2 linked regions of the Sus scrofa genome follow. The protein of the gene in region 1 purifies or fractionates together with the protein of each later gene. This does not show direct contact. Links are inferred from orthologs where the notes say so. Each region holds a gene or a part of one and is shown on either strand. Other genes may lie near its edges.

Region 1 (4,354 bases):
AATACACCAAACATCACAGCTTAGGCTAGCCCACCTGAAAACTCACAAGCTACCTTACCCTTGCGCCTCTCGTAGCTAGCCATACTGTCAGCCCAGGAAAAGATCAAAGCTGAAAAGTAGTTTCTCCTGAGTTCCCATCATGGTGCAGTGGAAAAGAATCTGACTAAGAACCATGAGGTTGCAGACTCAATCCCTGGCCTCGCTCAATGGATCTGGGGTGGCTGTGGCAAAGGCCAATGTGTGTAGCTCTGATTAGACCCCCTAGCCTGGGAACCTCCACATGCTGTGGGGTGCAGCCTTAAAAAAAAAATTTCTACTGCATGTGTGCTTTCATGCTACCATAGTAAAGTCAAAAAATTGTTGTGAGTGGAAGGCCATCTATATATCCTTTAGGAAGGGGACTGAGTGTTGTACAGATGGCAGCTCAAAACTACCGCTTGTCACATAGTTAGCAGTAACCATGTCCCCCATGTACCATGTGACTGTACTCAAGACTAGGGAGTGAGAAGCCAGGGAAACTCCAAAAGCAGTGTTGTATATACTTACGAGAGCGCAGAACTGTATAAAACTGCATCTTCTTTATTTTGCATACTTTAATCTCAGAACAAAATAAACGAGCACAGTACACGACACCCAAACCCAGTGTCAAATGTGGGAAGGGTTATTAGGGCTTGCGGCCCCTGTAGCCTGCCTTAGACAGAAAAACAAATAAAACCACTAGACATCAGCAGAGGAGACCAGGTGGGCTAGGGCCACTGGGGGCTGCTGCCAGGGGAGCCAATGGGGACACTATACAGAGGGAACAAAGTTTGCAGGTAGCAACTCCTAATCTACTTCTTCCATGCGAGATGCATCCTCATCACCCTCGAGCGGGGGGATCTCATCAGGAACAGCAGCACTGGGCTCCTCTGCTGTCACTTCGTCCTCATCAATGCCTAGAAAGAGGGAAGAAAGAATGCCACTTGAGATCTGGCCCCAAAAGCATCAAATCTGTGTCCACCAGGCTAATTCTCCAACTCCTCGCCACACCTACTGCGCAAGGGTACTTACCCAGGCCAAGCTTGATCATGCGGTAGATGCGGTTGGAATGGGTCTGGGGATCTTCCAGCGAGAAGCCAGAAGACAGCAGTGCCGTTTCAAACAGCAGCACCACTAGGTCCTTGACAGCCTTGTCATTCTTGTCCGCCTCTGCCTTCTGTCGCAGCGTCTCCACAATGGGGTGGTCAGGGTTGATCTCCAGGTGCTTTTTGGCCATCATGTAGCCCATGGTCGAGTTGTCCCGAAGTGCCTGAGCTTTCATGATGCGCTCCATGTTGGCTGTCCAGCCATAGGTGCTGGTCACAATGCAACAGGGTGAAGACACAAGCCTGTTGGAGATGGTCACCTGTGGACAACCACAAAAATCTTTGGTTTACCTTAAATCAAAACTACCTCAAGGCAAAAAACGGTATTTTGAAGTTCTATCCTTGGGAAAATAAAGCCTCATCTTTGCCAAGTCTTAGAGCAATGACAAACTTTCCCAGTAAAAGAACACAAAAAACAAAAATAAAAGTTCCCATTGTGGACCAGCGGGAACAAACTCGACTGGTGTCCATGAGGATTTGGGTTCAAACCCTGGCCTTGCTCAGTGGGTGAAAGGATCTGGTGTTGCTGTGAGCTGCGGTGTAGGTCGCAGACATGGCTTGGATCCAAAGTTGCTGTGGCATAGGCCAGCAGCTGTAGCTCTTATTTGACCCCTAGCCTGGGAACTTTTGTATGCTGTGGGCGGGGCCTGAAGAGAGGGAAAAAAAAAATCTGCCCAGTTAAGAGAATAAAATAGGATGGCTCTAAACAAATAAGGCTGCGCCAAACCACTAATCGTGTAGCAACCAGAAACTGAGGGCAAAGCCCTGAAAGCACTTACTACTCCGTTCACTGCTTACCTTCTCTACTTTCTTATCCAAGATCTCTTTCATGAGTTTGCAGAGGTTCTCAAACTTGGCCTTGCTCTCCTCCATCTTTTTCTTCTCCTCCTCATCCTCAGGCAGCTCCAGGCCCTCCTTGGTAACTGAGACCAGGCTCTTCCCATCAAACTCCTTGAGCTGTTGCACACAGTACTCGTCGATGGGCTCTGTCATGTACACCACCTCGAAACCCCGCTTCCGCACACGCTCCACAAACGCAGAGTTGGCAACCTGCTCCTTGCTCTCACCTATAGGATTATTAAATGTGACTCAAGGATCAGAATGCCCCAGCCAGCCAGCTCCCAGGTATCCCTGTGTCCTCCCCTTCTCCTAACACCTGAGAGGCTTTGTGGTCAGGCCCTACGTTCCACTCACCAGTGATATAGTAGATGGACTTCTGGGTCTCCTTCATGCGTGAGACGTACTCTGAGAGAGAAGTCATCTCATCGCCAGACTGGGAGGTATGGTAGCGCAGCAGCTCAGAAAGGCGCCGCCGATTAGTGGAGTCCTCATGGATTCCAAGCTTTAAGGGTGGAAAGGGAAAGTCTTACTAGAAAATAATTATCCCCTACATGAATGAAAAACAGCCATCTTCATCATTAAAAAAGCAAGCATTTGCTGTCTGCTTACCTTTAGATTTTTTGAGAAAGCCTCGTAGAATTTCTTGTAGTTCTCCTTGTCTTCTGCCAGCTCAGAGAAGAGCTCCAGGCACTTCTTAACAATGTTTTTACGAATGACCTTCAAAATCTTGCTCTGCTGGAGCATTTCTCGGGAGATGTTCAGGGGAAGGTCTTCAGAGTCAACCACACCGCGGATGAAGTCTGAAATCAAACATGGATGCTCAGTTAGACACCCCCCCTACAAAAACAAAAAAGTATACACCGCCATCCAGCTGCACCAGTTACACGGCAGAGGACCCTTAGCTTCAGAACAAAGGCTTCATCAGAGTTCCCCATCATGGCGCAGTGGAAATGAATCTGACTAGGAACCATGAGGTTGCAGGTTCAATCGCTGGCCTCGCTCAGTTGGTTAAGGATCTGGCGTTACTGTAAGCTGTGGTGTAGGTCGCAGACTCAGCTCGGACCCTGCGTTACTATGGCTGTGGTGTGGGCTAGCAGTTATAGCTCTGATTTGACCCCTAGCCTGGGAACCTCTCCATATCCTGCAGGTGTGGCCCAGAAGAAAAAAAAAAAAAAAAAAAAAAAAAAAAATCAAGGCTTCAGTTCCTTTGAGAAAGCTGAGACCAACTACATTAGGCAGAGAAGGTACTCACTGAGGTACTCTGGTATCAGCTCATCGCAGCTGTCCATGATGAACACACGGCGAACGTAAAGTTTGATGTTGTTCTTTTTCTTTTTGTTCTCAAAGAGGTCAAAAGGAGCCCGACGGGGGATGAACAGCAATGCTCTGAATTCCAACTGACCTTCTACAGAGAAGTGCTGTGAGAGAAATCCAAGATAAGCCAACTGTGTATTTTAAGAGTGGCTTTTGTCCCAACACCAAATTAAACTATTTGGGGAGTTCCCGTCGTGGCGCAGCGGAAATGAATTTGATGAGGAAACCCTAAGGTCGCATGTTCAATCCCTGGCCTTGCTCAGTGGGTCGAGGACCGAGGGTTGCCATGAGCTGTGGTATAGGTCACAGATGTGGCTTGGATCTAGGGTTGCTGTGGTGTAGGCTGGCAGCTGTAGCTCTGATTAGACTCCTAGGCTGGGAACCTCCATATGCCGTGGGTGCGGCCCTTAAAAAACAAAAAAATTAAGTTATTTAAAAAAAAAAAAAACTATTTGGAAAAAAAGACCTTCCCCCTTAAGCACCAGGAATAGACTAGACTCTATGGTAGCTGTTGAGAAGCCCTAATAATGCCCTAAATGAATCCAACATAGTGCAACCTGTACATAATCCTTGTGTTAACGAGGAAATAGCCAATTCAGAATGCTAGATGGGCAAAGCTGCCAGAGACACAGTGAAGTCCCTGGAGATGTCATTCCCCTGCCCTGGAAGGGTCCATCAGTAGGTGAACTCATGGCATTCCCAGTTCCCAATCAGTTGGGCAAGTGCCACTTGCCCATTACCAACTCTTCCTATTGCGCCAACAAACAAGGCTTCTTACCTTGACTGCCAGGTGATCTTCCCAGTCATTGGTCAGGCTTTTGTAGAACTCTCCATATTCCTCCTGGGTGATGTCATCAGGGTTCCTGGTCCAGATGGGCTTGGTCTTGTTCAGTTCTTCCTGATCAATATACTTCTCCTTGATCTTTTTTGTCTTCTTTTTCTTATCTTTGCCACTATCATCCTCCTCATCTGAGCCCACATCTTCAATCTTGGGCTTCTCCTCATCATCTTTATCTTCCTCCTCTTTATCACCTTTCTCTTCCTCTGCCTCATCATCACTGATTTCTTTCTCACGT
Region 2 (3,648 bases), on another chromosome or scaffold:
TTACTGACTTCGGACTCAACCCCCTTCCGCTGCTCCTTTACACGCAGCCCCGAGTGCACACCTCATCCACCACTGACTCCCTTCTGTTTCGTTCTCTGACTGCACAAGTCAGACCTTCGCTATCTCTTTACTATCCCGTGACTGGCTCTCCCACATTAACTCGTCAGCTCTTTGGGGGCAGAGACCATGTCTGGCACGGCTGTGGCTGTTGCCACAGTTCTGCACATGAGAGGTGTGCCAAAAACCCTTTTGGCCGAGCCGGAAGAATGAAACACAGCTTTGGCAGCAAAGGTAAAAGAGAGGCACTCTCTCGGTCTAGAAGGAACAGGTGACGCGTGGAGTGATCCATGTCTCCTATTAAGCCAACAGGATCTCACATTCCACCCTCAGAACAGGGAGGTACTTGCCCGGTGTGGGTAAGGGCCCGCCCGCCCTGAAGGGGCCAGGGCTCACCTTGCCATCGGAGATGCACTGAGCCGCGGGCTTGTCGGGGATCAGCGCCAGACCCGCCTCCTGCAGCAGCTCCTGGGCCTCCTCGAGGATGCCTGTGTCCTGCCGGATCCGGGCCTTCAAGCTCTGCAGGCTCTCGTCCTCGGTCACGGGGTAGGTATGAATGGTGCCTGTGACCATGTTCAAGATATGAACCAGCTGCAACACAACCCAGACGTTACTGGAAAAAAAAACTACTTGACAGAGACGCCCACCTGCTGGCCTGGATCCCTGCTCCTCCCTGAGCCCCCAGCACACAAAGGCCTGGCCTGGGGAGGGGTTCAGTGCTGGGTCGTTTTTTTTTTTGGGGGGGGAGGGTAAGTGTGCAGTGGCTCAATGTGGGATCTCGGTTCCCAGCCAGGGACTGAACCCAGGCCGCAGTGGTGAAAGTGCTGAATCCTAACCACGAGGCCACAGGGAGCTCCCCAGTGCTGGGTCTTTATAGTCAAGTCTGTCCTCAGCTATGACCTCACAGCCCAGGTTGGTCAGCATGGGGTCCTAGCATCTTCCTCACGTACAGATGCCCCCCACCCCGCCCCACCAGGAGGCTGCATTCCCCGGTTGGGGAGGGGCCCCACGGCCCAGCTAGCTTGGTGCTGGCTCACCTTCAAGGTTAAGATGTCATCCAGGGCCTTGAAGCAGCCATTGGGCCCGTACGTGGGATCGGTGCCCCTCTGCCGGGGGTGCCACATCAGCATCAGCTGCAGCCACTTCTCCAGCCGCTGGGCCAGGACACTGAGAAGAGGGCATGGGTGTTGGGGAGGTGCGTGGGAACTGAAAAGTGCACCCGCCTCACACGGGTGTCCCTGTTGCACTGACCCCTGAGGATGAACTAATATTTCACATGCTCACCCCACCTCAGGCAGACTCCACCCACCATCTGGACCCCACGCTGCTGGATTCCTAGTCAGTCACCCCTTGGAAAGCACCTGGTGGGTCCACACGACAAGTTCTTGATCCTTCCCGACCCCCTCAGCACCCACAGTGGCCCTTGCTGCCCCCCATGAAGGCCCTCCAGAGGCCAACACTGCCACCTCCCCTCTGCAGGCCCCCTCAAGCGTTCTTCCCTCAGCTTCCTTCCTTTTCACCCATCCCTGTCCTGCACATTCTTCCAGATCCTTCCAGAAAGTTCCAGCCCATCCATTCATCCCATGTAGCTAGTCCACATAGTACCTCTCTCCCCACCCCCTCAATACTCATAGTCATTCTTTTTTTTCTTCCTGGCTGTACCCATGGAGTATGGACGTTCCCAGACCATGGACTGAATATGATCCAGCAGATGCAGTCTATGCTGCTGCTGCTGCTGTGGCAACATTAGATTCTGAACCCACTGAGCCACAGCGGGAACTCCACTCATGGTAATTCTTATCCGTGCCTCTCAATTGCATGCAGCTGCCTGGCAGCTTTCTTTTGTGCTGTTACCGGGTTCTGATACGATTACCTGACTGCTCATATTGTGGCTCTAAGGCCAGACTGCAATGCTGTTCACACTGCACAGGTTTATCTGCTGATGGTAAGCCAGCATTTGGCTGCACGGGGAGTGCAGAGAGAAATACAGTGACTCTCCTGCCCTTCCAGTGGACCAGGAGATAAACTCTCTGCAAAACCCAGTGTAATGCAAGGCAGATGCCAGTGAGGGGCGTGAGAGGCACAAACCGTTGTGCAAGTGAGTGAGGAAGACGATTTCTAATTGTGGCGAGGGGTTGGAATGCGTTCCAAGGTTAAGACTGAGATGGGACCCAGTTAGGTTCATGCCACAGCAGGACACCCTGACGTAAAAGCTATCAGCCCTCAGAAATCCCACACCTCTTCTTTGTTTTATTTTGTTTTCTCTTATTTTTTGGCTGCCTGCAGCATATGGAAGTTCCCGGGCCAGGGATCAGATCCCAGATGCAGTTGTGACCTAAGCTGCAGCTGTGGCATCACCAGATCCCGAACCCACCGTGCCGGGCTGGGGATTGAACCTACGTCCCAGTGCTCCCAAGACACGGCCAATGCTGACACACGTCCGGGGCCTCACCTGTTGAGGTTGTTGGGGTAGGGTAATGAGCTGGAGAACTTCACGGTGCCATTCAGGTCCTCGCTCACCACGATGTCCATCTCGCTCTTCTGCCGGACTTTGGAGTGCCTGCAGATGTGGGGCCTCGTCTCTTACGCCACTCATAAGGATCCCACATCCCTTGATGGCCAACAGCTCCCTATGCTGGTAACCTCCACCCTGGCTGCTATTTAACCCCATAGGGTGCCGGCCAGTGCTCTCAGGACACTTCTCTGAGAGTCTAAGGTCATTAGTACTGCCCAGCAGGGTTGTATGGCTGACTCCTGACCCCATTCAGGGCAGGCTCATTCCTTTGTATTCTTCTACTTTTTGTTGTTGTTGTTGTTGTTGTTTTTAGGGCCACATAGCAGCACATGGAAGTTCCAGGCTAGGGGTCAAATCAGAGCTGCAGCTGCCAGTCTACGTGACAGCCATAGCAATGCCAGACCCAAGCTCCGTCTGCGAACTACTCCATAGCTTACAAGTAACATTGGATCCTTAACCCACAGAGCAAAGGGCAGGGATTGAACCCACATCCATGTGGATACTGGGGGGTTAACCCACTGAGCCACAGTGGGAACCCCTCATTGTTCTACTTTTCATCTAATACCGAACACTCATGTTTTGGTAGAGGATAAAATCAGGACTTGCACACCAAGGTAACTGCACATGGATCCCCTCCCCATGAAATATGCACGCACTTCCCTCTAAAAGCACGTGGCCAAGTGTTTTACATCTGACAGTGAATGAATGATAATGCTTCCCAACTTAGAGAATCTTTCGACACATCTGAAATAGCATTTAAAGGAGAAAAGGTTTTTTTTGCTTTTTAGGGCTGCATCCATGGCACATGAAGGTTCCAGGCTAGGGGTCGAATTGGAGCTGTAGCTGCCGGCCTACACCACAGCCGCAGCAACCCAGGATTGGAGCCACATCTGTGACCTACACCACAGCTCATGGCAACACCGGTTCCTTAACCCACTGAGCAAGGTCAGGGATCGAACCTGCATCCTCATGGATGAGAGAGAAAAGTTTTAAACTGGTCTCAAATCTTCCCAGTGAAAAGGGTGATGACATAAATTTGAATTATGCTTTGCAGACCACCAAGCATTAACAGGGAA

What was found.
Region 2: the proteins of HSP90AB1 (region 1) and IKBKB purify together in Homo sapiens (affinity purification with western blotting; 3 studies listed by BioGRID and IntAct, with this or other methods). This does not show direct contact. The link is inferred for Sus scrofa from reciprocal best matches to the Homo sapiens genes HSP90AB1 and IKBKB.

The regions. Positions count from the first base shown.
Region 1 is NC_010449.5:39,246,683-39,251,036, reverse strand, and holds the end of HSP90AB1 (heat shock protein HSP 90-beta), read right to left. Parts: coding exon 4,057-4,354; intron 3,383-4,056; coding exon 3,217-3,382; intron 2,765-3,216; coding exon 2,574-2,764; intron 2,467-2,573; coding exon 2,319-2,466; intron 2,192-2,318; coding exon 1,923-2,191; intron 1,385-1,922; coding exon 1,051-1,384; intron 936-1,050; coding exon 826-935; 3' UTR 558-825; downstream 1-557. UniProt on the Homo sapiens protein: Molecular chaperone that promotes the maturation, structural maintenance and proper regulation of specific target proteins involved for instance in cell cycle control and signal transduction. Undergoes a functional cycle linked to its ATPase activity.
Region 2 is NC_010459.5:11,328,229-11,331,876, reverse strand, and holds part of IKBKB (inhibitor of nuclear factor kappa-B kinase subunit beta), read right to left. Parts: intron 2,618-3,648; coding exon 2,510-2,617; intron 1,225-2,509; coding exon 1,095-1,224; intron 649-1,094; coding exon 454-648; intron 1-453.